Macaca mulatta: one gene and its partner. The protein of the gene in region 2 purifies or fractionates together with the protein of the main gene of each other region. This does not show direct contact. Links are inferred from orthologs where the notes say so. Each region holds a gene or a part of one and is shown on either strand. Other genes may lie near its edges. The genes, in order: TLE2 and CCT8.

What was found.
Region 1: the proteins of CCT8 (region 2) and TLE2 purify together in Homo sapiens (affinity purification with mass spectrometry; 3 studies listed by BioGRID and IntAct, with this or other methods). This does not show direct contact. The link is inferred for Macaca mulatta from reciprocal best matches to the Homo sapiens genes CCT8 and TLE2.

Annotation. Positions count from the first base shown.
Region 1 is NC_133424.1:3,804,546-3,808,364, forward strand, and holds part of TLE2 (transducin-like enhancer protein 2), read right to left. Parts: intron 3,715-3,819; coding exon 3,565-3,714; intron 1,103-3,564; coding exon 964-1,102; intron 1-963.
Region 2 is NC_133408.1:18,428,909-18,432,727, reverse strand, and holds part of CCT8 (T-complex protein 1 subunit theta), read right to left. Parts: intron 3,283-3,819; coding exon 3,192-3,282; intron 2,456-3,191; coding exon 2,376-2,455; intron 673-2,375; coding exon 523-672; intron 26-522; coding exon 1-25. UniProt on the Homo sapiens protein: Component of the chaperonin-containing T-complex (TRiC), a molecular chaperone complex that assists the folding of actin, tubulin and other proteins upon ATP hydrolysis.

The DNA of each region.
Region 1 (3,819 bases), on a different chromosome or scaffold from region 2:
TTTCTTTTAATTGGCAAACTCCTACCCATCCTTCAAAACCCAGGCTCATGCCTGTAATCCCAGCACTTTGGAAGGCCGAAGTGGGAGGATCATCTGAGGTCAGGAGTTCAAGATCAGCCTGACCAACATAGTGAAACCTGGTCTCTACTAAAAATACAAAAATTAGCTGGGCATGGCGGCGCATGCCTGTAATTCCAGCTGCTCGGGAGGCTGGGGCAGCAGAATTGCTTGAAGCCGGGAGCGGGAGGTTGCCATGAGCTGAGATCGTGCCATTGCACTCTAGCCTGGGCAACAAGAGTGAAACCCCGTCTCAAAAAAAAAAAGAAAAAATAATTGAGGCCCAATGTCCCTTAACATCTCCGAAACATCCTTGAACCTCCCCGTTGCCAACCTCCAGCTTTGCCCTTCTTGGGCACCTGGCTTGGTACCAGCCCTGATTATACAGGGCTGTGAGTTTTGGGGTCTGGGTTTCGTCCCTTTTTGCCACCTGGGAGTTCCTTGAGGGCAGGTTCCAAGGACAACTTTTTTCAGGGGCCCTAGAACCAGCCCAGGGCGTGACCGTACGGCAGCAAAGATGACCACTGTCATTCCCCAGATTACTGATGGGGAAACTGAGGCTCAGAGAGGTTGGGTCACTTGCCCAAGGTCACCCAGCTGGTGAATACCCAAGCTTGGTCTGAAACCCAAGCCCATCTGGCCCCAAAGATCGTCTCTCCAGTGCACTAGGCTGAAACCCGCGACTAAGCCCCTTCCACGCTCCAGGCCTCAGTTTCCCTACCCGCCAAGCGGAGACAACGAGGAACTGCCCAGAGGGAGGCAGAGTCTAACTTGAAGTCACAAAAAGGACTAAGGCAATGAACGCCAGGCCTGGAATCTCAGCCTTCTGCCTCTCCAGCCCCTTTTCCTAGATCTCCCCGGAGATGAGGCCTGCTCCGGACAGGCACCAACAGGCAAGGTGCTCACCGATGCTGTCCGTGGAAGGCGCTGGCTTGGCAGCGAGCTGGCAGAGGTGACTGGCCGAGCTGGGTCCAGGGGTGGACGCGTCCTGGGGCGGGGAGGAGTCGCAGGACTTGGAGGCAGGAGTGCTGGGGGGAAGGTCATTCTGCAGAGAAAGGGCAGGACTGAACGCCACCAGACACCTGGTGTCTTGTGGCCTAATGATCTGATCAGAAACTGTGGGGGCCAGTCGCAGTGTCTCACGCCTGTAATCCCAACACTTTGGGAGGCCCAGGTGGACGGATCACCTGAGGTCAGGAGTTAGAGACCAGCCTGGCCAACATGGTAACATGGTAAAACCACATCTCTACTAAAAATACAAAAAAAGATTAGCCGGGCGTGGTGGCACATGCCTGTGATCCCAGCTACTCAGGAGGCTGAGGCAGGAGAATTGCTTGAACCCGGGAGGTGGAGGTTGCAGTGAGCTGAGATCACGCCATTGCACTCCAGCCTGAGCAGCAGAACACGACTCTGTTTCAGCTGGGAGCGGTGGTTCACGCCTGTAATCCCAACACTTTGGGAGGCCGAGGCAGGTGGATCACTTGAGGTCAGGAGTTTGAGACCACCCTGGCCAACATGGTGAAACCCTGTCTACTAAAAATACAAAATTAGCTGGACATGGTGGCACGTGCCTGTAATTCCAGCTACTCGGGAGGCTGAGGCAGGAGACTTGCCTGAACCCGGGAGGCAGAAGTTGCAGTGAGCTGAGATCAGGCCATTGCACTCTAGCCTGGGCAACAAGAGCAAAATTCCACCAAAAAAAAAAAAAAAAAGGCAACAAAGTTACAAAGTTATAGGCTGTCAAGATTTGCATTTTTTTTTTTTTTTTTAATACAGGGTCTTGCTCTCAAAAATAACATGATCAGATAGGTGCTGTGGCTCATGCCTGTGATCCCAGCACGTTGGGAGGCCAGGACGGGCAGATCACCTGAGATCAGGAGATCTAGACCATCCTGGCTAACACAGTGAAACTCTGTTCTACTAAAAATACAAAAAATTAGCCAGGTGTGGTGGCACGCACCTGTAGTCCCAGCTACCCACTATCCGGGAGGCTGAGACAGGAGAATCTCTTGAACCCGGGAGGCAGTGGTTGCAGTGAGCTGAGATCGCGCCACTGCACTCCAGACTGGGTGACAGAGGGAGACCCCATCTCCAAAACAAAAAACATAAAACAAACAAAAAAAGGCACGCTCGTAGCTCAATGCAGCCTCAACCTCCCACACTCAAGTGATCCTCCCGACTCAGCCTCCCAAGTAGCTGGCACTACAGGCACACGTCTCCATGCCCGGCTAACTTTTTAAATTTTTTTGTAGAGACAAGGTCTCACTATGTTGCCCAGGCTGGTTTCCAACTCCTGCTCTTGAGTGATCGTCCTGCCTTGGCCTCCCAAAGCCCTGGGATGACAGGCATGAGCCACAGCCCGCAGTCACTGTTGAGATTCTTGAACGACAAGGAATTAGAAACTCCGGGATGGGCTCGTGGAGAGGCAGACCCCACCGCGGCATATTCTCAGGCGAAGGAAGAACGCCTAGCACACAGTGCAATCCTCCTTGTGCCCCCCACGGAGAGGGAGGTGTCACCCAGAGCTGTCCTTCCCCAAGGGGAACTCTGAGGAAAGCAGCAGCTGGACCTCCATCTAGGGGCAGGTTCTGTTATCTCGGCTTCATGTCACCGCCTCCCCTGCCTCCCAAGAAACTTCGCATCCTTGTCTTGCGTCTGTCTCGGCTTCCCATGACACCATCGCACACACGCTGACAGCTGCACAGCACCCGCACCCGCGAGAGAGTGGATGGGACAACTGTGGGGTCAGGGAGGACCCCTGAGGGCTTCTCCAATACAACGGAGCTGCCCTACCCCCTCGTAAGGTTTTTCCCGCAGTGGGAGGAGGGCACTTAAGATAGAATGGGAGCCCCAACCTCTGGTGGTTGCCATGGTAACCTGCCAAGAGGGGAGGCCTTGAAACCGGGAGGGGAGGCCTAGAAACCGACATACTCTCCCCTGGTAAGTGCAGGGGAGGGGTCTGGAGAAGATTTGGGGTGAGGGGAGCCACAAAAGGAGCTGAATTTGGAATGCCCTGGGGGTGCTTTTAGATGGCTTACATGCCTGGCATTAAACTCCAGGAGGTCCAACCGGAAAGTTGTTCCTATATTAATTATCTTTCCTTCCGGGGACAACATCTCAGCTTGGGGCCGGTGTATCTCTAAGCGCCTCTGGAAGGGCTCAACACATGCAGGCCTGGGTCCAGCTTAGCTGGCTGGGCTTTCACTGTGTTTATTTCCATGGGATTTCCTATTGATTGCAACAGAGAGACCTGCTTTCCATGTAAGGTGGTGAATTGCCTTTTAAAATTTATCTACAAAGCTTCTTTACAAAGTTGCCTTTTAATATTTACTGAGGTTCAACAAAGTCAGTCCCAGCGGGAGGTTAAAAAAAAAAAGCACAAGGAGAGGGTGGACAATGCCAGCCGGGCTGATTTCTCATCATTGCCCTCTGTGTCATGGGGTAGTGTCTGTTTCCAGGCCCCCAGGATGAATAAAGTGAGTTTCAAGGCCCTCCCCTCCTCCTTACCAGGATGAGCTCCTTGGCTCTAGGGAGTGGTGAGCCAAGGCTAGAGGCCAAGGAGGCCGGACTGTCCACCAGGTCCCGACGGGCAGGAACACAGATGGGTACCTTTCCGCAGGGGGTGGTAGCCGGGCTGGGGGGCTCTGAGGGTTGGTCCTGGGTTCGAGAAGGTAACATTGAGCAGAGTTGAAATGAGAGAGAAGGAGTCCCTCTCTATCCTCCTCCCGACTCCCACCCCAATCTCTAGAATGGGTACCCACG
Region 2 (3,819 bases):
AGGCTATTTCATAACCTTCTATGACCTGAAATATAAACAACAACATTTCCTATTCTGACATGACTTAAAGTAGCTTACTTAGGTAACCGAATGCATATGGATGTTTATTTTTGATATAAAATGACAAAGAATATACTTTGGAATAATACATATAGTAGACTCTACTAGTTATGAATGGAGGCTTAGATGACAGCCCAAATTTGAATCTTAACTCTACCTAACTCACTAGCTATGAGATCTTGGGCAAGATTTTTCTAATTTTAATCTCTTTCTCATCTAAAATAAAGTGGGGAAAAAAAAAGAAAAAATAGATAAAATGAGATTATAAGGCCTCAAAAATAGGGTTTTTGTGAGACTAAAATGATACTGCATGTGAAGCATATGTACTGTAACGGCTGCTGGTACAGAGAAACTGCTCAGTACATGTTAGCTACTACTATAATAATGATTTTAGTTTATGTTTTAAGCAGGTGTACATGTAAGCAAAAATTAAGTAGGAGTAAATTATAAATGAACACTTGCCTCTGAAACTGACAGGCCAATCCTCAGAAGTTCTTCAGCTAATTCCAGCAGAGCTCCAGCAAATACCAGAACAAAGTTTGTGCCATCTCCAACTTCTTGCTCTTGCATATGAGAAGCCATTACAATCATTTTTGCAGCAGGATGCTGTACCTAGTAGGAAAGGTAATATCAAGTTAAACATCTGATTCTTAAAGCAACATAAAATTGTTCATTTCCCTTTCTTAGACTCCAATTTTCCTGTAGATTAGGTAACTCCATTTGATCACACCGCTATACGCTACTTATAGTGTGGTCACAAGAAAAAATCCAAGTCCCTTTATGCCGATCAGCACAAATGTATCACTATAAATAAGAATTTCAAAGTGCATCCTCTTTTGATGGCCTGTACATACAGTGCCACACATATGGTTCAGCATATCATTATATCTCACTAAATTAAAAAACAAAGTAATTACAACCACCAAACCTAAATATTTTTTTAAAATCCTTCAGGATAACTAAAATAGATACCACTTAACTTGGTCATGAGTCTCAGTATCTATTTTACCATATATTCTTGTTCTAAGGGCTATCATTTGTGATTTAAAGAAAAGGGGGAGTATAAAAGTTTTCTTAAAATGTAACATAATTTTACGTGGATTTTATTCTTAAGATTTAATTTTAGATATCTTTACAGAAACAAGCCAAGGAGTAAGAACTGAAAGCAGGGAGTAAACTATAAAAGTCAGCCCTGTGATTTTATTATTTTGACAGTATCACCACTATACTTTAATAACTCCTGATGTTAACTCCTGAGATCATCAGTGTGCAACATTAACATTCACAATGACAAATCCTTGTACAAGTGTTTTGTGGAGTTAAAATTTAACTTTAAACTTAAAAAAAATTATATATATATGTATATATATTTTTAAGTTGGAGTCTTGCTCTGTTGCCCAGACTGGAGTGCAGTGGCGTGATCTTGGCTCACTGCAACCTCGGCCTCCCAGGTTCAAGCGATTCTTCAGCCCCAGCCTCCTGAGTAGCTGGAATTACAGGTGTGCACCACCACGCCCGGCTAATTTTTTTTTCTGTATTTTTAGTAGAGATGGGGTTTCACTATGTTGTCCAGGCTAGTCTAGAACCCCTGACCTCAGGTGATCCGCCTGCCTCGACCTCCCAAAGTGGTGGGATCACAGGCGTGAGCTACCGCGTCCAGCCAAAAATATTTTAAGAGGTTAGAGAAATGCTGATTCTTCTATAGTTTCATTTAAAACAAAAGATTAAGTTCTAGCGCTTTCAAGGGCTAAGCTGCAGGAAAATTCCCTGAGGCTGAATATGTTATCTTTTAATTACAAGGCGGGAATGAGGAATGGCTCTCTCTGCCTGTTCAGGTGACAGATCTTCCTTACAACCCTGCTGGCAGGCAGTATCTATTTTATAGACTCTAATAGCAAAACTGGAGCTGAACAAAGTAGATTGCCATAAACTGACTGTTTTTATTTTCATAAAATCAAGTGGTTGGATCTTTTTAAAAACCACTGTTTTATGTATACGTTTTTGCATTGTGGAATAATTCACTTCAGAGTCACTCTATCGAATGAAGATAATGGTAATCAATTTCATATCCCAATTAGCAATGTATCACAACCAATCCCTCCACAAATTAATAACTTAAGAAATTTTTAAGATTTCAGTCGTTACAATGTTCAATCTAAAGAGGACTCTCTATAATTAGAACAACCTGTATAATAAATTTTCAAGTTGGAAAAACAGTCCCTTATCCAATCTGAAATAAGAGATTTCTTCTAGTTAAAGTCTACTTAATTTTGATGTCACCAAAATATTTCTTGACTTTTAAAGAAACAACTTACTTCTAGTTCTCTTAAAATAGTCGCTGCATCATTTGTCACAAACAACTTCTCCAAGTGGTTGATAACCATTTTGTTCATTCCTCAAAAGTAACAGTTAAAAAAAGAAAAAGAAAGCCATTATTAATCAAATCCTTACCCAAATACCCACGAAAATCTAGTAAAAAAATATAAATTTGTGTATTTAAAAAATAGCTTTGTAAGAAAACACATACTATCTATTCTTCAAGTTTATCTTATAGCCCCATGGGCATTCTCTGACCGCAGACCCATATTCTTTCTTTCCTTTTTAATGTCCTACAATATTTACTACGTAACATGCCAAATCTCACATTTTTGCCAATTTCTGTCTTCTCTTGCAACATGATTGTCATGCAACAAGTGCTCAACAGATATTAATATGTAAAAAGGCCAAAATAACCTATTTAGTATATTTAGTTGTATGTTTATTCCATGAAACTGTATCAATTATATTTAATTGGCGGTAGAAGGCAAGAAGAAGGAGGGAATTTTCTTCCTTAAACTACGTCACTTTTATATTCAGTGTTTGTCACAATGAACATTAGGTACTATCTTACTAGTCAAAGTGTTATAATTTTTCTACCCTCTCAACAGGATAAAAAGTAATATATTGATCCCTATTTTTCTAGAGATCTGAGTTGACTGAAAATTAGAAATAACTAAAAACTTGAACTATTAATTAAGCTATCAAATTAACTTCCAAAGCCATACTATAACATCCTCAGAACAAGTTTGAAAGAAGAGGTAGTACACAAAATTCTACTACTGTATCTTTACAAATATTAATTTAGAAATTACCATTTGGTCCATATGCTGTACGAGTGGTTTGGGCAAGCTCCTTGCAAGCTTGTATATTTCTATACACAGCCTCTTCTAATCCTGAAAAGTGCTGTTAAAACAAACAAACAAAAAACCCCGCTAATTAGACAGGACAGTGAAACAAGAATTTTCAAACAGAAGATATCTTCGCTTATATCTTGCTTCTAATAAAGAGGGAGCATAGCTGAGGTATTCGGCACAAGAGGGCTGGTTACAAATCTTAGCTTTCTGGCTTTTTAATTTGGGCAATTTTCTTAATATTTCTTCATTATAAAATGCGGTAATTATAATAGTACCTACCTCATAGGATTGTTGAGACAATCAAACAAGATTTATGTAAAACATAGCATTTGATATTCATAAATGATGCATACATTTCCTCTCTAGCTGAATGAATAGAAGTATAACATTTTGGGGGACTGCAGGTACCTACTTACACATCAAATCGTAAGACTTATAATTTTTTTATTAAAAATAGTGAAAAGTACAGGGAACCATGCTAAGGCTAATTAGAGAATGGGAATGAGGTACTTCAAGTCGAATACCTTTCCAGAGTTTATCGGTATTTTCTAATGTTGAAATGTGGAATATTTTTCTCATTGTGTTA